Schizosaccharomyces pombe: one gene and its partners. Changing the gene in region 1 together with any one later gene gives a genetic interaction. Each region holds a gene or a part of one and is shown in the gene's direction. Other genes may lie near its edges.

Region 1 (4,977 bases):
TCTTTAGGAAAATTGACAGGAAATGGTAAATGAGCACGAGCACTAGGAGGCAAAGGATAAGCATCTCTTTCATAGTAAGTATACATGGGACAGGAGTTTAGAGCTAACAACGCTGATTTAAAATCCTCCAAATGCAAGTATACATCAGCCAAACATGCCCAAGTTGCAAATTCTGATGGAGAAGCATGAACGGCGCGCTTAGCACAGATAAGTGCAAGGTCATAGCGCTCTTTTGAAATCAGAAACTTAACTTGAACAATAAGCAAACTAGCGGACATTCTTTGTTTTAGCAATGAATCATGCAAGATACGAACAGCATGCACTTCATGGTCCATTAGTAAGTATAGTTCAGCAAGCAAAACCGATACCTCTGGAATTGACACCCGGAGCTTTTCAAAAAGATTTAGAGCAGCACTGTAGCGGCAGGTTTGCTTCAAGTAAGCGAAAATTCCACGAACCAAATGATTATTTACATGCGTAGGTACCCGAACTTCAGAAGAAGACCCTAGAGTATAACCTAACGTAAAAAGCTGTTCGGCAGCCTCAAAAAATCTTAATTCTGCATCAGGATTTGGAATGGGGTTAAAACGACGATGTCCTGCAAAGCGAGAATTTGTATCATCAGAATAAAGTAACGAACGAAGGACTTCAGACATATATGCTTCTGTCCACATACGAGCATCGACAATATGCTTTTGCCCATTCTCATCAATAGCATATGTGTCAACACCTCCAGGAATTTTAGCTTCCACACGAACATCAACTTGAGAGAAGACATTGTAGCAACAGTAAACTCCGTGACTAACACGCCAAGCGTTTCCCTTCCCAAACCATTGTTGACTTTTATCAAGAGAATAGGAAAGCGTATTTAAATATGCCGCTAGTGAAGCTGAGGAAGAAGCATCAACTCCAGATACAAAGTGATAAGTTCCAACCTTTGACGAGGTTAATAATACGTAAAACGTTAACGTTTCAATAGGAGTGAAAAGTTTGGTAAAGAGAGACTTGTCTTGATCCTTTCCCCACTAATCTCCAACATCATTAACACTACAGCTTTCGCTGCTTTAAAAAGTGACATACCTCTTTTGATGGATTTTTTGCATTAACTTTTATAGTATTGACCTGATCAGGAGGCCCGAGTTCTTTAAATTGTGCGATGGATTTAGAACGCGCATCTAATGACTCGTTTACACGAGTTTCTAAAAACCTATCGTCATTGTTTAGAACTTCAGCTCAATTATATTTAAGGAACTTACTCTGGTATATCCTTAAAGAATGAATCACTCATATATCATAAATTGGAATTAATATGCAAAGCAGCGTTCAATTCGGCCTCGTGGCTGGTTCCAGTTAAGAGGTTATGGTGTAGCCGCAGCCTGACTTGCTGTAACGAAGTGTAGCAAGCGACAATTAGGCAATCGTCCACAATTTCCTTATATATAAAGAATAAATAAATATCATTAAATTATGCATTTAGTGTATTTGAAAACCAAAAAATAATTGAATATTATACATTTTGATTTGTATCTTCATTCATCCTGACAATTGATGATTTAGGGAAGTCAAAAGTAGTACCCAACGAATAGTGTAGCGATAATTTTTTCTTAAGATTACAACTCATTGATTAATACAATTGAAATAAAAATTTCTTGTTGGTGCGGAATCCAACGCAATTAGTATTAAAAAAAAGAACAGCTTTATGTTAGTTTCCACTAAAAGTTAGACCAGTCATACGCACAATGTTAGCTTTAAAAAACTCGCACAATACGCTGGTAAGCATATGATAAATTAATACAATACTTCCAAGCAATTGCGAATGTAAGTTGCTGTGAATTTTTTTCCGAATTTCGAAATCTTTAACGAACCTTTAATGAAACGTCTAAAAGTAGAATCAGGAGTTATTGATTTTTGCATTATATATCTCCTTGACAAGAAATTTTTTGTTTCATCTAGCCATACATTTTGATAGATGTCTCTTGCAATGAACCATTGTTTGTTTAAAATATCCTAAAACCAAATAACATGTGCGAATACGTTATTTAATAGTGCAAAATTCTACAAAGAAAGAATCGAAATTTATGCTTAAGCCATTCATGTTAACGCTCATCAAGAAAGCTAATTTGACTAAATACAATCAATGGAGAGTGCTAGTATACATTGCTTGTTTTAACTGACATTTTTAAATTAACTACGATAAGTGTTAAGATTAAACAAAGTGAGAAACGTAACAGTGCTTAAGTTCAGTTTTCTTGCGAATGTATTGAATTACTTTCACTTGCCCAGCTAGTAAACAATTAAGGCTTTGGTACCGCTTTGTCCTTCTAATAAATTATGGTTAGTAGCGAAAATAACCAGCCTTTTGACTGATGAGAGGTATATATTCATTTGTCAATTCAAATTAATACGGCCTTTTGAATATTTATTTACTGAATAGTGTTGATTAATAAAAAGGCAATCTGTATAGCGATGAATCGTTAGCATCACCAAAGTCATTTTAATCAAACTGCGCTATATTTTACTAAGAAAAGCACGTTACCAATGTTAGATTAACGAATGTACATATTGAACTCAATAAATGTGTCCGACCCTTACCGAACGGGGTTTCAAGAGAGTGTCATGGATTTTAAGTTACCGTTCCCCCATCTCTGTACGATTTAGCAATTCATTGAGAAAATGGCTTTTGCTTGGAAGAAAAACTTTAGGTATGGATTCATTTCTTGAATGTGAACATTAAATATACCCTGATAGTTTTACTAATGAATGAATATTTGTAGTTATAGCAAATATGCTTCTATTTGTTCCCAAACTGTTCGTCAAGCCTTAAAACCGGAAATTAAAAACGAGGTTAAAACTCATGGTGATGCAGAGTTCCTTTATACTCGATGGAAAAATGGCGCTCAGGAAAAAACGGAGTCTTACAATTCGGCAAAGTCTGCTGATAAGGAATGAAAATAAAGGCTACAAACGAATTTTTTGTCCTTCATTACCCATTGGTAATATTTCAGCTTCATTTGATGTTTCACTCATTTCAACAGATATCACTGATGGTTTACAATCTCTTATAATGATTACTATATTCGACTTAACGTTGAATTACTAACTGATCCTTTCAATAAATTTTTATTACTTTTTTTAATGATGAAGTTTAATAGAACAAGGTAGTTTGCTCTGTTTTCTTAAAACTGTTGAGAATGGCACTTCAAATCATTGTGGTTGCTCTGTATTTTCGATCAAATCTATAATCGGCCTTTGTCTCAAAACCAAAAATTGTTGATTTTACTATAATGAGATGTAGCTAATTTAGAAGTAAGTGAGTTTTGTCACTAATATCATTCATTAACGTAGTTTTTGTTTTTGCTACTACCGAGATCATTTATAGTCGCATTACACAGTAAACTTACTACAATACTATGTTCTTAATTGTTTGTATCGTTATCTAGTTTCTAAAAAATGGCTTCAACGTCGAACAAAATTGCTTGTTCTACTGTTTTCAAACAATCATGCAAACTCACCCATTAAAAAATTTTTAATTGTATGAATACAATTTTAGAGCCCGAATGAAAGAAACAGGGTATACATACGAAATCGCATTACATTCAAAACAAACTCCACTTGATGCCTTGTACTCTTTCTCTTCTTGCAAGGATATAGTGTATCGTTTAACTTCGCTATTTAGTGACTACTTGGGTCTCTAGATATGCCACTAAAGACGTGTTTGAGACCTGTCTGCACCTGTCTATGTTGGCGTTTGTAGTCGAAGGCAACGTGCGGTATTAACGATGCAGAAAATCAACACACTCTTCTTTTTGAAAACCACGAACTAAATACGTTACACAGCAAAGACAAAAGTCACCACTTACGCTTTCTTAACGACATCAAAGAAATTACTAAACTACTTTGATAAAGTCTGTAGTAAGAGAAGAGTTACAAAACAATATCCTTATGATAAACATCCCTTAAAACTATAAAAGTTTGCTTTTGATTGCAATTCATAATCTGTTCCTACTTAAAAAAGTAGTCGTCACCCAAGTTCAAAAGTTTGTTCAGTGCATCAAAACATTAAAGAACCAGCCTTAAATTGCCTTGGGAATTAGTGAATTCATACCGATTTTATGACTTAATATAAACATCTGTAAACGCACTGATTGATTTCCTGAGGTTTTGTTTGCGTTGGGAGTTTTTAATTTTTTTTTTGTTATTAGCACTTATTTTAATTATCTTTGCTTTTTGAAGGTGTGTAGAGAGCTGAAATCTGAATTTAGGACGCTCAATAGCTTGATCTTCCAATGCAGGCTTATTGCTCAATGCTTTTGCGGAGTATAGTATTGAAAACCACAGTTGTTTGACGCTTTTTGTAATACATCGCTTCCTTTATCTACAACTTTAACATCTTATCTACATACTTTTTTCAATTTCTGGTTACAGTTTTATACAGTGATCAATTTGGAAGTCTCATATTAAGGTTATGGCAACGTTTACTCCTCTAAATGCGGCCAGTGAAGATCTGGATAAGGAAAAACGCACTTTAGAAATCCGAATTGAAGAAGCTGTTCAAATATATCAAAATGCACTTTCAGCCCAGAAGCAGGGAGATGACAATGCTGCTACAAAGTATTACGATGAGCTATTGAATGTTCGAATTCTTCGCGAACTCCCTTTTACCGTTAATTCTAATTATAAAAAAAATAATGCTTTATTGCTACTACATTACCTCACTAGAAAAAATCATGGTTTGTTTTTGCTGTCAAAGCTACAATCTTTATTATCCTTAGATCCTTCAACCGATCCCATCCCTGTGTATCGGGACGCCCTGCTCGATTTTGCTATTGCATTGGCTTGCGATTACAATGACATAGAACTTTGGTCTTTTGTTGCCGAGTTAGCTGAAAAATTGGAAATGCCAAGAATTCAAAGATTTGCTTTAGAGTCATCATTTTATACCGGCTACGAACCCTTTGACGCGGAGAGAGTATTTAC
Region 2 (6,014 bases), 3.6 Mb from region 1:
GCCCGCCACTATTTATATATTTACAAAAATCAACGAGCCATGATGGAAGCGCCATGTATTTCCCATGTAAACAACGTTTTGCCAGCATATGAAGTATTCGCTATGTTTAGTTCCGCGAATCATAAGCCTTTTAACAATCTAATCTTTAGTTGAATGGACAACTATGGCAAATCCCTATTTCATACGCCCACCTGAGTGATCCGCTTAATTAAAAATGCATACACGATAAACCTAATCTTCAAAAAACGAGGGGCTTGCAATGAAAACTACAGGGCAATGCTGTTTCAGCCTGCTAAACAAATGACATACTGCAATTCAACGAAGCCGGCTTACCAAACGATTGCTAGAGCGGACTCATTCCACCCTATTCATCTTTCCTATAATACTGCAAAAACGTAAATACGGGATGGGAAGGTTAGAGCTTGTATCGTATCGAGGTTTACGTGACTGAGAAAATGGCATGGCATGGCATGGCACTCCCTTAATACATTCGTAAAGGATTGAGAGGCGAGCATGACCGCTGCTTTCATCACCGACCTCAATTGCATACCCACAGCAATTACATAAGATCGACCCCAATTGCCTATGATTTGATGTCTAGCAATTGTGTATGATTGATCGCCATTGTGTAGCTGTAGGTGTTATTATGTCTCTTTAAACTTGAACTTGTTTTCTCGTGCTGCTTTGGTATAGTGTTGTACGTTTTAGAGCACACGAATACAAGTTCAAGTTTAAAGTGGGCTTTATGTGTCTTCTTACCTGTGTTAACTCAGAATCAACATAACATGGCTTATACAGCTAAATGGCGCAGTGTAGTGTGCTGGAATGCAGCAACGAAAATCAGAAATTGTGAAATTCGATGATGAGTACTAATGCTTTGTGACGTAGATGATTGGGAAGTGCTAAAGGTGGGTGGGTGGATGGAGTAGTTAGTAGGAGGAGAAATGAACCTTAAGATATAGAAAGAAGTGGAGAAAATAAATTCGTTCTATAATGACTGGTCATCCAGGTAATTAAAGAGAGGGAGAAATTTTTGAGGTTGATTGTTTTCATCCCGCCCTTCCTATTAGCAATAAGGAAATTTGGTGTTGTTTATTTAACGAGATTTTTCGTGGGTTGATGGTATGTGGCTTCAGAATGGGATAATAACCTTGCATTGAAAGAGCAGGATATAAAGCATGCTTCAAAATATGTGTGCTATTAGCTATATTTTAAAAGACGTGTATTTTACCACAAATTTATTCTTCACATGTAATTTTCATACATTCACTTTTATTCTTATATAAACTAATGTCCCGTGGAATTTTCACTAAGCTACTACTATATTTATTCATAGAACGAGAAACCACCCTTTGTGGACATTTAGACTATTATTCTAACTTGATTCACGTGCCGTGTTGGTAAAAGCATAAGTTCAATTAAAAGAGCTTTTATCTCTAAAATAGAAGCAACAAATGCGATGCGAGTAGGAATGAAGTCAATTCTTAAAGGTAAAGCTTCTACCAAGATAAACTTACATATGAGTTAATAAATATTATGGTTAGGATACTCAAATTATAAGATAGCTTTTTGAGATTGTTTTTTGTTTGTAATATATTATTTTTTTTTTTTTTTCCTGTTTCGTTAGATCGTTATTTATTTTATTTTATTGTACTGTGTTTATTTTATTTTATTGAATAGTTCTTATGTGTGTGTTGTCTTTTTTAAATTTAATATTAAATGACATCTTTTTATTTTTTTATTTTTATTTTTCTTTAGCTTCACTTAAACCAATTATTCCTTTTAACTCATCGTCCATATTAACTATAATGTCTCCATACTATTTATGCTTCCTTAATTTCAAATTTCTCATTAACATTAATTTTACATCTACATCTACATTTATATATTTTTTTTTTGCAAACCTACGTAGAGTAACTTTCTCTTTTCCTTCGTTAAAACGATATCAATTTTAATACGAATTTACTCATTGTATTTCCATCTTTTCTCGTCTCCTCGCTCTAATCCTTTGTCGCTTTGATTTATTTGATTGCACTTACTCCATTGAAAACTCTTGATTCCCCGAACCCCCACATCCATCCAGTCCTTGAGAGATGCAAGACAAGAGAGGTTCATGGACCCAAGTGGGGTCGATTTTTTTTGGAGTGAGTTCCTTTTGATATCAATTGACCATGCTAAAAGCTTGACAAAAACAAGTATTTATCCAAGTGAGAACTAATTCACTAAGTAGATAATTTTTTGTTAAAGTTAGTTTTATGAAACGTACGTTTACTATTTACTCAAAAAAATTGAACCGAGATATCGGAGTCAATGCTATTCGCGATTCAAAAGAAAGATCAAGTGTTAACAGGAGCTTGAGTCGAATTTTCATACACTCATATACCCAAAGAAACACATTAATAAACAAACACCTAACTTGGCGTTTGTTTTCAAATACTAAACGAGCGCTGACGTCAATGGCTGATCGATCTATAGACTAGCGAAAATAGCAATAATTTGTACAATTGGAAGATCATAAGTATACATGGGTTTGAGCTTTTAGCGTGCACATTTTCGTATCAATTTCTTTTCTGAATGTAACTAAAAGACACTACAGATATTGTAGTAAATTCATCTTCCAATTCACTGCTTTGCTGTTAGGATATCGGGTACACAATCGCAAAATAGATTGCGGCAGCTTTCGGCCCCGCTCATATGTTTTCTATTCCGATGGAAGAAAAAGAGTTCAAATCGCACTCGCTTCCACACTACAACTACGCAATAACTCATCATTTCCCCACAAAAGTGACGTATTGTCCGTCGGCTATGTCCTAATGCAAAGCTTTATTTATTTGCGAGTTTTCCTCACCTTTTCGTCAATCTAATTTCAATCAATCATTTTTTTTACTTGCTTCATTTTCAAAGCATTCGTTATTCTAATCTTTTCTTCATTCTTACTATAACGAGATCATAAATTCTTTCTTGTTATACATACCGTTTCTACTTCGCTGCTAATTCTTTTTTTCTTTTGACATTTGTGCCTGTCTATTAATAATTCTTAACAGACATACTCTACTTCTCACTACTTCTTTTTTTCTAAGTTACAGTTTCTCATTAATTACTTTATCGAAAGATGTCTGTTTATCAAACTTACAAGGGCTTGCCAGCTGGTTGGGTCGCCCAATGGGATCCAACTTATCAAGCTTACTTTTACATTAATGAAACGTTTGAAGGTGCTCAACCACAGTGGGAGCCTCCTATTCCAGGCTTGCATATTCCTCCTCCTCCCGGTACCACTACCGTCGTCTATCAAAAGGACGTGCCTCGCTCTTCTGACGGCTCACGGTCTATGACGGCTGGATTAGGAGGTTTCATGGTTGGAGCTTTAGCCGGCAGTGTTCTTCGTGGTCACCGTGCTTACTACGCCCCTCCTCCTCCCAGAGGCCCTTTGTTTGGTCCAAGAATCGGTGGTGGCCATCATGGCCCACTTCATGGTCCTCACGGTGGTTTCGGCGGCCGCGGTGGTGGACGCATGGGTGGACGTGGTGGACGTGGCCGCAGATGAAAAGCGTTGATTTTTATTTAAATTTGGTTCCGATTTCGTCCTACATACTATGGTCGTTGATTATGGAATCGCTCTTTTTTTTTGAGAACATCACTTTCTCCTTTGAATAGAATCACCAAATTCACGTATACGACTCTTTCGAAATTGTTAAATGGAAAACACGATATCCAGTGAAGTTCTTTTTATTCCCTTGAAATTTCATACTATTTTTGCTAATCGTTCTAAAATTGTTATATTCTGTTAGTCGTTCTTTGACCTAATTTCTTGTTTACTTATATTAATTTTGTTATCATCTGATCTTTACTTGTTTCAAGCTTCCTTATTTATTGTACCATTGCATTCTTTATTGGGATTTCGAGGAAAACGGTCTAATTTATAAAATTTCTGTTTAATACCAAAGAAGTAAGGAGCATATATTATAATGGGTGTGAATATCGACGGAGTTGGTTGTCGATGGAATCATTTTTTTGGCATTTATCACTTCGACGTGTATTTACTTATTTATTTATATTTTTTTTTGGTTAATTGTAAAAAATTGGGTGAAGCACAATTTTTGAAACTTTTAAAAAATCAATGGTTGTTTTTTCAGACGTTAAATTAGTTTATTATGCATGATTTAAAATAGTCAATTATATATCTTTCATTTATTATTATCATTGTTTTTTCATTACTAGTTGTCCTTTTTTTTTGGGTATTTTAGTTGAATAGTTTATAGTGGTGTATTACTGACTATATAATTGGCAAACTCAGATATTTGTTTGGTTTTGGATTAAATGCACAATTCCGAAAAAATTAAGGCAGAAAGAAAAAAAATTTTTTTTACACTTATGGGATGTCATACCACTATTTTAAAAGACAAACAGATATCATTTGAATCGTTTAAAACCTGTATTTATCAAGCTGTTTAAAATAAGAGAAATATAACTTGGCTCTTGGATACACATAATGAAATAAGAAAAGTTAATATATTTCAAAATTAAGAAATATTATCTACGGTACAACATTTATTTGTTCATATTACGATTATTCAGTAAGGATACGTAAATTTGTACCTGGCAATTATCAAATGAATGTCGAGGGTTTTCATAGCAATGCAAAACCGTTTGTTTTTAAGCAAAGCCGGCGATTAAAAAGGGTAATAAGAGCAATTTTCCTTTTTCAATTAGCTATGTTTCAAGTCAAGCAGCATTAGTGAAACCCTGATATTCTGAGTTTGAATAAAACAAATTGGCAGTCTATTTTCCATGAACAGCTTTCGATAATTAGTGAAGTACTTTTAAAAACACGTTAATACCACTTTAATGGAACTCGTAAATTCGTAAACTAGGAATGACGAATTATGGTTTGGGGCAATCACGATATAGTAAAATAACGAAATTTGCATAATGCTACTACCACTACATCAGCCTCTTATGTAATGATCTGTAGCGTATCAGATTTTCATTTCTTTTATAATCGTTCTATACCACTGCGCGATTTCTCCTTTTCCCTAACAGATACAGCTTACCACCAAAACTTTCTATCTTTAATACTCGAAAAATTAAGTATATAGATCTTAGAGAGTGATTTTTGAATATCTGCCTATAACATTTTTCTTTTCTTTGGTTAGAATCTTTCTAAGCCTCTATATCGTTTATATAGGTTTTTACTCTGTGTCTTTACAGAATTAATCATATAAAAAATGTCTGTCTATCAAACTCGTGAAGGTTTGCCCAGTGGATGGGTTGCTCAATGGGATGCTGAATATGGAACATACTTTTATGTTAACGAGTCAGCTCAAAATCCACAGCCCCAATGGGAACCACCAGTCGAAAATCTGAAACTTGCTCCTCCTCCAGGAGCCACAAGCGTTAATACAGCTGTGTATAATAACAATAACAATACTTCTGCTGCGAATACGAATGCTGCATACAATGCTAATACTGCTGCAAATGCCAATGCTAACACTGCCACGACTACCAATGCTGCCGCTACTACCAGCGCTGCATATAACCCCAATGCCCCTGCCAATACCAATGCTGCATACTATCCTAATGCTGCTGCCACTACCACTACCAATGCAGATGGTAGTGATAAAGGGCTGTTCAGTGGGCTTACCTCTTCTAATGGCTACACCACTGGCAACTCTTACAGTAGACCAAGCTACGTTGCTCCTGTCGCTGCAGGGTTAGGTGGATTGGCCTTAGGTGGCCTGGCTTCACACGCACTTGGCAATCTCTTTCACCATCGTGGTCATAACGGTGGTGGTTTCGGAGGTTTTGGTGGTGGTTCTGGCGGTCCTCCTCCTGGTCCTGGTGGATTTGGAGGCTTTGGAGGCTTTGGAGGTGAAGGCCATCATCATGGTGGTCACGGTGGCTTTGGAGGCGGCCCTGGAGGTTTTGAGGGCGGTCCTGGTGGCTTCGGAGGCGGTCCTGGCGGCTTTGGAGGCGGTCTTGGAGGTTTTGGAGGAGGCCCCGGAGGCTTTGGGGGT
Region 3 (6,756 bases), on another chromosome or scaffold:
AAATCCCTTGTTATTGAACTGCAAGCATGCTTGTTGCGGAGATTGTTTGTCAGAACATATTCAGTATCAAAAAAGAAGAAACATAATTCCTCCGCTTTGTCATACATGTCGTCAACCCTTCAATGAGCAAGATGTCTATAAACCTTTTTTTGTCAAAAATAACGGAACACAGTCTACGCTTTTAGTCGGTGAGGAAGTAAAATGGAAATATTGGAATAGGCTACAATCAGTGAAACTTAATGGCCTTTTAGGACAATTGCGTCAATTAACTCATAGTTCTGAACCTGAAAAGGTCGTTATCTTTTCACAGTTTACCACATTCCTGGATATTATCGCAGACGTTCTCGAGTCAGAGAAGATGGGGTATGCTAGATTCGATGGTACCATGTCACAACAAATGAGGTCGACGGCTTTAGAGACATTTCGAAATGATCCTGATGTTAACGTGCTGATTATCTCTTTAAAGGCAGGCGGGGTTGGTTTAAACCTTACTTGTGCCAACCATGTTTTTATTATGGATCCATGGTGGAGCTGGTCAGTGGAAGCACAGGCCATCGATCGTATTCATCGTTTAGGACAGGAAAAGCCTGTATTTGTGACGAGATATATTGTACGTGATACTGTTGAGGAAAGGATGCTCAAAATACAAGAACGCAAAAATTTTATTACTGGGACCCTGGGCATGTCGGAAGGAAAGCAGCAGGTTCAGTCAATTGAAGACATCAAAATGTTGTTTGAATATTAACAACGGTTTCACCAAGCCGATTAAAAGCTATCGTAAAAAAAAAGTATTTTCATATTATGCATATGAAATGCAATTGCTACCGTGGTCGTTGTCATGACTGTCAAATTCTAAGAGAGTATGTGATAAACAAACTGCGTTACAAGATAAATTATAAACTATCTACACCCCTTGGATTTGTTGATTCACGTCTATCACTAATGAATGCGAAATAGTCGAATTCGGTGCATAAGTAACAAAAGTATTAAGGAACGACAGTTTACCCTGGAGCTATACAATCTAAAGTAGTGAATGTGTAATACTTTATTCCATTTTTTGAACTCATAAATTTCCTTGGATGACTTACTTTTTTGTATTCATGATGTTGTTGCTGAGTATCATGGGCAAGGGAATATAAGTTTTAGCTGCTGCAGTGTAAAGGCTGGCTAATGTTTTGTTCAGTATATTAGAGATAGGTATAATTGTTAACTTTTATTCGATTTTTTTATTATTGTTAACCTTGTTAAATAGTAGTAGCGATTGTGATGGAAATCCGGTCACAGAAAGAAAGCGATGTGTATAATTCAACTATATTGGTCAGCCTCTCTCTTTGTTGAAAAGTCGAAGTAGTTGTTTAATAAGGTCAAGATATTTTGATGAAATCAGTGACACAAAATTAAATCCGAATATTTTAGCTAAGTTTTCATTCCATAAATTTCATTTTTCTAATAGCTACCCGTAGAAAGTTTTATAAGCAAGTAACGTGCCGGTTGCTGGGTTATAAAAATTTAGGCAAGGTTACGGTTGTCTCTACCATCGGCAAAGGAGCCGACGTTAATAAAATATTTAACAAAGCCTTTAAAAAATTAACGATAGCTAGTCAAAGGAAGCTTAACGCGTATTCAGCCTCATTAAGACAATCAGGAAGCTTTTTTTTACCATCAGCATATACCTCTAACCCTTTGATTTATTTTTATATCTCGAGATTTCGTTCGTTATTTTATAGGTCGTTTCGATAAGACCTTAATACAATCTGATTTAGTGGTTGTTTAAGATTTCGGAAAAGCCTTTTTTTCAAAAAAAGTTTTCCAGTTATTGTTTCATTATTTCTAATTGATTTACTGAAGAATTGTTATAACCTAAAGATGGCACTTATGTTATCCAGGATTCCACGTCGTTTTTTTTTCTTATTTTTAACGGTCGGCTTGATTGCTGGCGCGTTTCTATACTCGTTGATATATTTTGTGGACGTTGATTTGGTGTCGAAGGTTAACCAGTTGTATGATCAGCAAATTGCACCCATGCTCTCCGATGCTATTGGCACTCCATCCGTTAATCACTCGTTTGAGTTGGCGCCGTTAGACTCTCATTTGGTGGCCACAAGCACTACATTCCACGAGGCGTCATACGAGTCAGAGCCTCAGCAAAATCCTGCCAGTCAAAATATTGTCTTATTACTAGTTAGTGATGGACACACTTCTTACAATAATGGAGCTAATACGTTTGAAGAAGCTATACAGAACAGAGTTGACTATAGTACCAAACAAAACTACAACTTTGAGTATGTCAATGTTACTGGCCTCCCTATTCCCGCCGTTTGGTCCAAGATGCCCGCCGTCTTACAAACTATGAAGAAATACCCCAAAGCGGAATGGATCTGGTTGTTGGATCAGGATGCAATTATTACTAATACCCATCTTTCCCTTCAAGACTCCTTTTTGAAACCTGAGAACTTGCAAAAGACCTTAATTACTAATACCATCCTCACTAAACGGCCTATAAATGCTAACGGGGATTTGCGTTATACACCAAGTAATTATAGTTTAAAAGATATCGAAAATCTCATGGTCATAATCTCACAGGATCACAATGGATTAAACGCAGGTAGTATCTTGTTCCGTAATTCACCTGCTACTGCCTTGTTTTTGGATATTTGGACAGATCCTGTTGTTGCAGAATGTGCGAAAGCCAATAATGAACAAGACATGCTTGGATATTTGATTTCTAAGCATTCACAACTTGCTTCGCTGGTTGGCCTTATTCCTCAAAGAAAAATAAATGCTTTTCACGAAGGTCCGGAAAATATGGAATGGCAAAAAGGTGATTTGGTAATTCACTTTGCTGGATGTTGGGTTGAAAACCGCTGCGATGAACTATGGCAAAAGTTTTACGCCTTGATTGACTAAGTTGCTTATTCATTATATCCGTCTGTTTAATTTGTTTGTGTTTTAAAAAATTTTATATATATAAACAAAGCGCCGTATAATTTTCCGTCAATCTTCCTTTCTTTATCTGAATCTCTAATAATGTTTACTATTTTTTAATCTTTACATACCTAATTAATATAGCGGTTGTGCCATAGCAATCAAAGTTTCAGGTTAGTTTTTTATAGCGAGATATCTGGGAGTTTTGTTTTACACAATCGTCCATCAATAATTGTTATATATTGTATATATTTCACATTGACTTTGAAGCTGTTTCTGTTGGTTCAACTAATTTGCTTTGGCAATTTACCAATGCAATATTGAAGATTGGAATAACAGTTTGGCGTTAATAAATCTTTTTAATAATTTGCATTTCACCGCAGCTGCCATTTTCTGTTAAATGCTGATAGAAGTTTTATTGAATCATTCGTGTCGGATTATACTAAGTTTTTATTTATCTTGTTTTTTGGCCCTACAAAGTATTGGTATGTCCTTATTTTATATTGATTACACTGGCTTTTGGCCTTATAAAGATATAGATTAGTTGCTAAGTCTAAAAGATGTATTTTTTAACGGTGGTTCCATTACGTCTGTGCACCCACTGTTTACACTTGTGTCTTTACAAACCTAGAAGCATTTTCCGATTAATGAGGTCTATCAGGTCAAGGAGAAAGAATATTTGAATAGATTTATCGACAAAATATATTTCGTTAAATTTACACAATATTTACTTTACCAATAAGCTAAATGGTATTTCCAATACTTTTCCAGCTAACAGTCAGATTTTTCACTGTTTGAAACAACTTCACCAAATTAATTCATTAGTGTCAATTTCTATTACATGCTTAAGCTCATAATTTTCAACATCCAGATAGCTCGAAAGTTGACACCATTACACACAAACTAAGATGATTGTGAAAAAACAAAGCGTTAGGATTTGTAAAAGGCAATTCCACAATTTGAATTACAATACTGTAACTGAATATAGCGCGGCACATGGTACAAACAACGTGCTGGTAATAAATTGACAAATGCAGAGCAACCCGCGTGATGAAACATAAATCTCGGATATTTTTTCTTTAAAGGGTTGTTAACGCAAGTCGTTTAAGGGTAAAAGAAATAAATAAATTTTAGAGGGTAACATCCTCATAAAGGGAGTCATCTTTAGAGCCTTTTTTCATTTTTTTAAGGCTTTCGAAAATTTCACGTGTCTCAAATTCTATTGTTTCAGCGGTTCGTTGAATTAATCTCTTATCATGTCTCGAATTTCACTTTCAAATTTTTTATCTCTTCCGCGTTACAAATTCCTGTTGTTTTCTGTGGTTTTGATTATTGTGATGACAACCTTAGTGTTTAACGGACACGATTATAAGCAAACCCTTAATGACCGGCTTACTTCATTAAAAAACAACTTTGTTGAGGAAAATGATAATGCCGTCTTAAAAGAAGAGCCTGGCAAATATACGTATATGAGTTTGTTTACTATGCCTTCTACTGAAGAGGATTACTACTTCAACGCTACTAGGGTTTTAATTCACCGATTGAAATATCATCCTACTACCAAAAGTAAATACCCTATCCATATCCTTGCACTCCGTGGAGTAGATGAGTGGAAAATTGAACGTTTTCGAAAGGATGGTGCTTCTGTGATTGTTATAGACCCCATTGCTTCATCGGATATTGTATACGATACATCCTCATTTAGTCAAGAAATATCTGCTAGATATGAACAAATGTTTTCGAAGTTGCGAATTTTCGAACAAATACAATTTGACAAAATTTGCGTAATTGACAGTGATATATTGATCATGAAGAACATTGATGATATATTTGATACTCCTTATATGTACCAACAAATTAATACCTTGAACTATACACGGCTACCTTCCTACACGAAGCCTGATGATGATACCGTCTATCACTTCAATGAGGATTTTAAAGAATATGGTGCCAGTCGAAGCGAATTTTACCCTTATCTTCTCGCAGCCGTCTCTGATAGAGGAGAGCATCATAGTATACCTCCAGAAGATACTCCTTATTTCAATGCTGGCTTAATGCTTATACGTCCAAGCGAGCTTCATTTTAACCGTATACTTAAAATCGGAAGGTTTCCTTATATGTATGAGAATGCCAAAATGATGGAGCAAAGCTTGTTGAATCTTGCATTTTCCTTGGACGGATGGTTTCCCTGGACTCGTCTTGATCCTTATTACAATGGCGTGTGGCCCTCAATTGACGAACGTCCTCTCTTAAAAACAGCACACGGAAAATTCTGGAATATTGGTAGCTCAGAATTTGCACCAGTATATTTAGCTGACTGGTATGCTGCTTATGGCGAAATGCTGTCTTTTCATAAGTATGAAACTCATTAAAGGAGGAATACCTTTCTTTTTTCTGTATTGTGACCTTATTTTACAATTAGAAGTTAAAATCTAATTGTATGTTATATATTTGAAAATTTCTTTAACTTATTACCATAATTTTATTTTAGACTTGCTATCCTTATTGTCTAAACGCACATTGTTTAGATCTCTTCAGCTTTCTTTGATTGCTGGCTATGTATACAACTTTATTACCTGCGTCTGTCTATAAATCCCGTTAGCGGTGATTTGCTTTCGGTCAGCCTATTTTTAGAATATAATTTTGGACTTGCGGTTGATTTTAATATACCTCTCATCTCTCCTTCATTATGGACTCATTAGACCTTATGAACAAACCCCAATTTTAATTATTATCACAAGCGTTTAGCAATTTTTGATGCTTAAACTAGCCTGAGGTCCAAACAGGATAGTTTAATTAGTGTTAGACATTAATATTTTTTAGAAAAAGATACTTTATGTCTAGAGGGTTGTTTTTGAAGCATTTTATAGAATTTATTCTTTTTTAAGAAAATTAATTAGATTTGTAAAAATGTGCAGCTTCATAATTATTTATGGAGCGAATCATTTATGTTTAAATAAGACGGCATTAATATAACGAAGTAAAAGATAAATAGTAATAATAAATTAACTGTAAATGCAATTGAAAATGTTAGAGGCTATAACGCGCCGACACTTGGGCATTGATTTAGCCTTTTAAATTATTTTATCTTTGTATTTAGTCCATAACTCGGCGCATTTGTTTTCAACCCAACATCCAGCGAAATGAAGAGCTAGATCTCCTTCTTGCCATTGCATTGTAGGGGGTCCTTCATGAAAAGCATTGATAAATCTTTGAGGAAGAATGCCAACCATGGAAGCTACCTGCGAGTGTTTTTGAATGAAATAGCCGATCAAATCTTGTTCATGACGCACGACTCCTGCATCTGCCAAAGAAGGATCAGTCAATAAATCCATTAGTAAAGCGATGGATCTTGAATTTCGTACTAAAAAGCTTCCTGCATTCAATCCGTTATGATCCTGAGAAATTAGAAATTGTATTTGTTCTATCATTTCCTTGGAGTAAGCCGCTGGAGTGATTCTGAAATTATCTTCTCCGAAAGAGTTTATAATTGGTTGCTCCCTAAGCAATGATTTTTGGAGCATTGCAGGTGAGAGAAATAATTCCTGTAAGGACAGATTTTTGTTCATTATAAGAGCATCCTGATCTAGCCACCAGATCCATTTTGCGGATGGATACTTGCGCATTGTTTGTAGAATTGCGGGCATCTTTCCCCATACAGGTGGCACTACCAGACTGGAAACGTTAACGAATTCAAAATTGTAGTTTTGAAGTTTCGCATACTCTATACGATTTTTAAAGCAATCATCTAGTAAGTTAGATTCAAAACTTCCAACGTTTCCATCGCTAGCAAGAAGCATTACTATTTCATGTGATTTTGGTTCATTGAGA
Region 4 (6,870 bases), on another chromosome or scaffold:
TCTCTCTTCAGTATTTATACGACATATCTGTTGCTCACAAGCAAAAGATAGAGGGCAATGCTTATGCCTGGAAAAAAGTTTTTAAAAAAAATCTATACAATGTCTGCTGTCTTAGCATAAATCAAACCTAGCCATATATGTGAATCAATCCAATTACGCGATATGGGTTTTTGTTAACGGATTATTAAACTGAACGTTCACTCCGCTCTAATTAGGGAGACTATTTTGTTATCTTCCGAAAGTATTTTATTCTAATTTACCCTCTCTTCGGAATGTTTTTTGTTCATTTTCTATTGTGAGCTTTCGTTTGCTGTAATTCAGTTTTGTTGACGGCTCCAAATTGGACGTGTTCTAGTTGTTTATGAGAGTTGCTGTTATATATAGTTGCGAAAATAAGTCATTTTTTTAATTCTTGGTTGTAATAAGAATGTTGTTTGTCTATATAAATAAGTTGACTGTAATTTTTTTGTTTTGTTTGATTCAAAAAATTATTATTTATATGTATATATTTTGTATGATAAAATTTGATTTTTAAAGGTTTGCTATACTTGAACAAGGAATAGTGAACTTTAACATACAGCCTATAATTCATTAATTAGGATGAGGAAGGAGATGTAGAAATGAAAAAATTTAGTTAACGTAAAACAGATTATACGATCATTTACAAATTATATCAACTGTACGCAATTTAATCAATGAAGTAGTGGGGATGTAGATGAGACAGTATAGAATACATCACAACGAGTAATGGGAGAAAAAAATTGTAGTAGTTGCGCGGGTTTTGCTCGGCCTCGGGCTTTACTTTCTAATCCGATGACTGTGAGTTACGTGTTTTGCAAAATTATTTAGCAAGTGTGCATTTTATGCTTTAAGTCTAAACGAAATGGGATCCGAGTTAACTTTAAGTTGAGGCTTTGCTTTTGATATAGGTATGCGCATGCGATTTACAAAAATCTAATCGAACAGAAGTAAGTATGTGTGTATGATAATAACATTTTGATAAATAAAGAAAACTGGCTAAACATATATTATGTAGAATTGAAAGAGCATAATTACAAGAAGAAAGACACTTGAAGATATGTTGTGATGTCATTAGATGTAGCGACTTTACAAACATGAAACTATGAGGAAAAAAAGAGTTACTGAGAGAGATTGATGATATTTTATATACACCATGACTCCAAAGATTGAAGGAAGTTAATAAATAAACATTGTGATTCATATTTTAATCAATTATGTAAAATGCGGCCAGTTGTAATGTAATGCGACTAATTTGATGCCAGTAATGTGTGTTAAATAATAGTCAAGGACAATCTGCAAGTTCCTTAGAAAGGTCCGGTTTCGAAGAGGCACACTTAATATCCGAGGGCGGCGCAGTTGAAATAACCAGCCCGGTTGAACGCTACATTCTCCTATACTTAACCTGCAAATGTTTCCGTCGTTAAGGATTTTAGATATATAGCTTAGCAACATTCATCCCAATGTGAACTTTAAAGCAGTCATAGTTGACCAGAAGATGAGCAACAAATTCAACGTAAAGGCTTGCGTCTCAGCGACTGCTCAAAATATAGATTTACACAACAACTTTACATATTAAGCGATATTTAAAGGACCGACAGTCTCGGTCTCTTTTCGCATAGAACGGAAGGGCATTTACATCATGGGGATGTAAATGGACCTTTTTTGATCTACAAAATGGGAATCTAAAAAATCTGTCAAAGATAGACATATGTGTCTCTGCTTACATATATATACATATATATATAGGCTGAATCACTTTCAACTTGCCTTTTCCCAATATTAAAATTATCGCACAAGTCGCTACTTTAGCTACTACTAACTTTTAGGGTAAGAAAGTGTAAGGGGGGATTTGCTTGGAGACTAGGCATGAGCTTGTATTTAATTGGAATAAAAGAAAAAGAATAGGAATTCATGAATTTGTTGAATGAAATTGCAAAACTGCAAGTCATTTGTATGAAACATAAAGCAGATGAATCCCAGGTTTTCGGTTACGATGCGACGTTTGCCGATGAACAGAAATGGTAAATGGTTTCGCATTTGATTCCGCAATACCGCAAACAGAAAATTTTATAAACCATGGAATTGTCAAGCGTTTCGCCAAATTCAAGAGCAAAATCCAGTGTTTATCTTAACATTGAGACGCTATGCTTTTTAATAAAAATCAATAACTTTGGATACTAACTTGTCATTTATTTAGACACAAATTACAATAATCAGATCCTCATATACCGGAGCAGAAATAACAGCACGGTAAGCAGATACAGTGATACAGTAAGAGCTGCGTTGGAATACGGGTGAATTTCAGCTATAAGGAGTTTTAAAATTTTTACGTAGTAGGGCGCTTTTGGTTTAATTTGTTTCACCATCCGTTTACAAATATTCCGTTGTTGTGTTGTTTTCGTTCACAAGAAAATTGTTTGAGGGTATAGTCAATTTTCTAAACTTTTGTGGGTCTAGAGAGACAGTCGTTGATTCCATCGTTTGTTTTGAGCGCGTTTTTGTAACGGCCTTCTAATCTCTGAGTTCAAGCAAAGCGGTGTGTAGATTTTGGCATAATTTCCCAAATTTATTGACCTAAAGACGGTTTAACTATAAAAAAAAAAGACAATGTTATTTAATTGTTTTGGAATACTCGCTCTGCTCCAGATCCTGCCGGCCTTGGCGTACCCGCCTTGTCGCGAGCAAATGTCGGATCCGTATGAGTTTGGGGAATCTGACTTAATGAGACCGGGCATGCATGACACGCCTCTTTCATTAATGCAAAAACGAGAGGCTTTGGCGATTTCGCTTTCCAAGCGCGACAGTGTTGGATCATACGCGCCTTATAATGTAACTTGTCCTAGTGACTATATGCTACGACCTGCTTCTGACGGAATAAGTTCAGGCGAGCAAAGTTTCATTGATAAACGTATCCCCAAAATCAATACACAAATGAGGTCCTTTATTTCCAACACTGGTTTGGACGTAGATGTAAACTCTGTGATTAATGATTCAGATGGCCCTCGTTTAGGACTTGCATTTTCTGGCGGTGGACTCCGCGCTATGGTCCACGGAGGAGGTGTTTTAAATGCTTTCGATTCTCGAAATGGCAATGGTTCTTCACTTGCTGGAATTCTTCAATCCGCCATGTATATCGCTGGTCTTTCTGGTGGTTCATGGCTGGTCGGTTCCGTAGCTGTTAATAACTTTGCCAATATTACTTATCTACGTGACAACGTTTGGAATTTGGAACATAGTGTCTTTGCTCCTCATGGTGACAATGTTGTCGAAAATCTTGCTTATTATGACGACCTGGATGATGAGATTGATCAAAAGAAAGATGCAGGATTCGATACTTCTTTGACCGATCTTTGGGGACGCGCTTTATCTCGTAAGCTTGTCGATGCTACCCAAGGTGGTCCAAATATCACATTTTCTAGCATTAGAAACCAAACTTGGTTCCAAAATGCCGACTATCCTTATCCCATCATTATATCTGACAGTCGTTTGGAAGAGGAAAAAGCTATCCCTGCCAACACCAGTATATTCGAATTTACTCCATACGAGTTTGGTACTTGGGACAATGGTATTAAAGCTTTTCTCCCTATGGAATACGTCGGTACCCATTTAAAGAATGGTGTTCCACCAGACCATAAGTGCATTCGTAACTATGATAATGCCGGTTTTGTTATGGGTACTTCAGCTACATTGTTCAACACGTTTCTGTTAGAATGGAGTCAGGAAGTAACGTCAAATAGTACTCTCTATGATATTATTCATAAAGTATTTGAAAAACTTTCTGAGGATCAAAATGACATCGCTCCTTACCCCAATCCTTATCAGAATTTCACGACTACAAACACCACCGTCAAAAACCCTTTTGAGCGATTCGATACTATTGATTTAGTAGATGGTGGTGAAGACGATGAGAACATTCCTATTTGGCCTTTGTTACATCCTCAAAGATTTGTTGACGTTATATTTGCTGTTGACGCAACTTATGATGATTCTAATGGTTGGCCTGATGGCTCTTCTATTGTTACTACATATGAAAGGATTATAACTTATAACGCCAATAAAAGTGTTGATGTTCGAGGTTTCCCGTATATCCCTGATGAGGACACAATCATTTCCTTGGGACTGAACACTCATCCAACATTCTTTGGATGTGACGGCAGAAACACTACTGCAGGTAATCATACCGTAGATAACAATACACCTCCTCTTCTTGTTTATTTCCCCAATTATCCTTGGGTTTACTATTCCAATATTTCCACGTTTACCATGTCTATGAATGACACTTTGTCCAGTGGCATTCTTGAAAATGCTGCTCTATCGGCTACTCAAAACAACAGCGATTCATTTGCAGTCTGTTTGGCATGCGCCATGATACAACGTTCCTTGGAGCGCAAAAATATGTCTACTCCTAGTCAATGCTCTTCTTGTTTTGAACAATACTGCTGGAATGGAACAACCGTGAACAACCCTAGTGCCGTTTCAAACTATGCTCCTACTGTGTTATCTGCATCAACCACTTCTGGTACCTCTTCTGTACGAGCCAAACCTATAGTATTTTATTTATTTGCTTCGCTTCTAACAGTTTCGTTACTATTATAGACGACGAAAGCCTCCCCCACTCACACACCTTGGTATGAGTCACTTTTCGACTTGAAAGAATTAAAAAGCATAGACTGAGTCAGGCTTTTATTTATTAATTGTAAGGTATTAATCACTACCAAACTTGTGGGGTTCAAAGGTTTTGTAGTTTTAGTGTTAGTGTTAGTGAATTCATTTTAAGTTTTCGAAGCACAATGTTTCTTTTCTCTAATGAAGATGTTTAGTTTAGTTAATTTAGGAAGATCGCTTTTATTTTTAAATATACAGACAATTAATTTTAATAATGATTGTGCAATTTTATAGATATCAAAGCTGTTTTGAATTATAAACCGTCAAAAAAGTCAGTTCCTAAAGGCTTTTTCCCTTGATTTCCCACCTTTTTCTTTTTCTTAGGACTCGAGAATTCAGAGTCGCTGCTGGAATCTTCATCACTATCTAAATTATCAGAGGAGGATGACTCATCTCCTTCCTTCTGATCAACCGGCCAGAAAGCTAGTTCGGTTCCACTACAGGAAACTAAAAAATTGCCTTCGGTAGTAACATCCACAGCGTCTACGGTTGATCGCGAAGAGTGTTGCCCTATAATTCTTTCGTATTTGTTTGGAAGAATGTGTAACAAACGTATACATCCGTCGCTTCCGCCAACATACAGACTGTCAGAATCAGCACGAGTTATTGTTTCTATTGAAAAATCATGGGACCGAATTGGCGATAAAATGCGATCGGTATGATCCCCCCAATCACCCTTTGTAAATAAAGTTATAACTCCACTGGCAGTACCAACAGCAAATTTCTTTTTTGAATGCTGATCCCGTGTAAAAGCTCCACAGGTCATTTCTTCGTCTTGTTCTTCACTCAATATTGGTTTTTTGAAATTACGAGCATCGATTACTGACAAAACTCCATCACCACTAGTAGCAACGAAGTATCGTTCTTCAAATGGGCTAATAGAAGATATATAGTCAATATGATCATTATGGGTATGGATAATGCCTCCCTCGGTGCGCTTATCCCAAACAGAAACACAACCATTATCATCACCTGTAGCAAAGACCATATCATTCTCAATCCATTGAACCACACTATAAGGAGAAATCTCCTTATTCTTATCCACTATCCATTTTGAACTCACTCTCCCCGTTGAGGTATCGGCGATTTTTAAAACACCATCTGAACCTACAGAAATGAATTCGGTACCTGATTCATTTACTGAAATATTTCTGCAGCTTTTTTTATGTCTTTTGGTACTCCATTGCTCGACCAAACTTATTTGTGCGACATCATATTGATAGCTACTAACTCTGCCGTTTGAAAAACCCAGTAACACTTGATTTTCACCGAAACAAGCTAAGTCGAATATTTCATTTTCAAATTTTTGTTTTATAGCAGCATTTATTGTTCCACCCATTAGGTTGTTTAGGACAAGTAGGCTGTGATTAGAGCTGGGCAATCCACCTCTCAGCACCCATTGCCCTGTAGCAAATTTGCATACCCTAGAATCGCGAATACTATTACACTACCAACTTGATATTGTTTTGGAAAATTTACATAAAGCATATAAAATTTTATTTGTACGAACTTCTTGAACTCATTTAAATAATTCAATAGTATTTTTTACTTGGGGATTCTTTATTCAAAGACTTTATTCGAAATCGTTAAACTACGAATTCTTTTAGAAAGTTAGACATGGAAAAATGGACGAAGGAGAACGTACTGAAAATTTTGCCAGTCGACGATGAGAGTGCCGCAATGATAACAAGCACTGCTTTAGCAGTCGATTCTTCCGAAGCCGCAAAAGATTATTGGATTTCTTTACTGGGGGATTCTGCTGAGACTATAGAATTCATTAGTGACTTCAATCAAAAAAGATTTCACTCTACGCATTCTGGTAATTCTCCATCGATCATGAAAAACAAGAAGAATGTGACACCAAATAATAATATTCGGCAAAAAAATACTGCCACATCTTCTCATCCAAGTTTCTATATCGCTAACAATAAGCAAAAAGGATATGATGAAGAAATGTATAAAGTCAATCCTGCTTCGAGGAATAAATCACAATCAAACAATATTTCATCACATGAAAAATCTAGCAAAACTACGAAAAATGTCTCTCCAGGCGTAATGACTTCTGACCTTATTCCGGAAAAGAAAAGTGTAAAACATAATAACTCTTCTTCTAACAGAATTGAAGGTCTCGCCGACATCGAAAAAGCTATACGTCAAATAGAGATATCTCAAAATATAAATAAA

Evidence for each region.
Region 2: mutations in atp15 (region 1) and wwm3 together harm fitness more than expected from each alone (negative genetic interaction), as found in Schizosaccharomyces pombe (one large-scale study listed by BioGRID).
Region 3: mutations in atp15 (region 1) and gmh2 together harm fitness more than expected from each alone (negative genetic interaction), as found in Schizosaccharomyces pombe (one large-scale study listed by BioGRID).
Region 4: mutations in atp15 (region 1) and plb3 together harm fitness more than expected from each alone (negative genetic interaction), as found in Schizosaccharomyces pombe (one large-scale study listed by BioGRID).

The regions. Positions count from the first base shown.
Region 1 is NC_003423.3:3,782,159-3,787,135, reverse strand, and holds atp15 (F0-ATPase epsilon subunit Atp15), read left to right. Parts: upstream 1-2,633; 5' UTR 2,634-2,673; coding exon 2,674-2,702; intron 2,703-2,774; coding exon 2,775-2,949; 3' UTR 2,950-3,280; downstream 3,281-4,977. Other genes in the region: bch1 (ChAPs family protein), read right to left, coding at 1-935, 1,081-1,207, 1,257-1,288; histone chaperone Hip3, read left to right, coding at 4,466-4,977. UniProt on the Schizosaccharomyces pombe protein: Mitochondrial membrane ATP synthase (F(1)F(0) ATP synthase or Complex V) produces ATP from ADP in the presence of a proton gradient across the membrane which is generated by electron transport complexes of the respiratory chain.
Region 2 is NC_003423.3:199,424-205,437, forward strand, and holds wwm3 (protein wwm3), read left to right. Parts: upstream 1-2,857; 5' UTR 2,858-3,112; coding exon 3,113-3,544; 3' UTR 3,545-4,200; downstream 4,201-6,014. Other genes in the region: protein wwm2, read left to right, coding at 5,226-6,014.
Region 3 is NC_003424.3:164,961-171,716, reverse strand, and holds gmh2 (alpha-1,2-galactosyltransferase Gmh2), read left to right. Parts: upstream 1-1,661; 5' UTR 1,662-1,866; coding exon 1,867-2,907; 3' UTR 2,908-3,951; downstream 3,952-6,756. Other genes in the region: ATP-dependent chromatin remodeller/ubiquitin-protein ligase E3 Rad8, read left to right, coding at 1-745; alpha-1,3-galactosyltransferase Otg1, read left to right, coding at 4,182-5,297; alpha-1,2-galactosyltransferase Gmh1, read right to left, coding at 6,000-6,756.
Region 4 is NC_003424.3:1,067,886-1,074,755, reverse strand, and holds plb3 (lysophospholipase Plb3), read left to right. Parts: upstream 1-2,393; 5' UTR 2,394-2,628; coding exon 2,629-4,617; 3' UTR 4,618-4,833; downstream 4,834-6,870. Other genes in the region: SPOM_SPAC1A6.11 (uncharacterized protein), read right to left, coding at 902-1,222; wdr55 (WD repeat-containing protein), read right to left, coding at 4,940-6,025; transcription coactivator Rqt4, read left to right, coding at 6,304-6,870.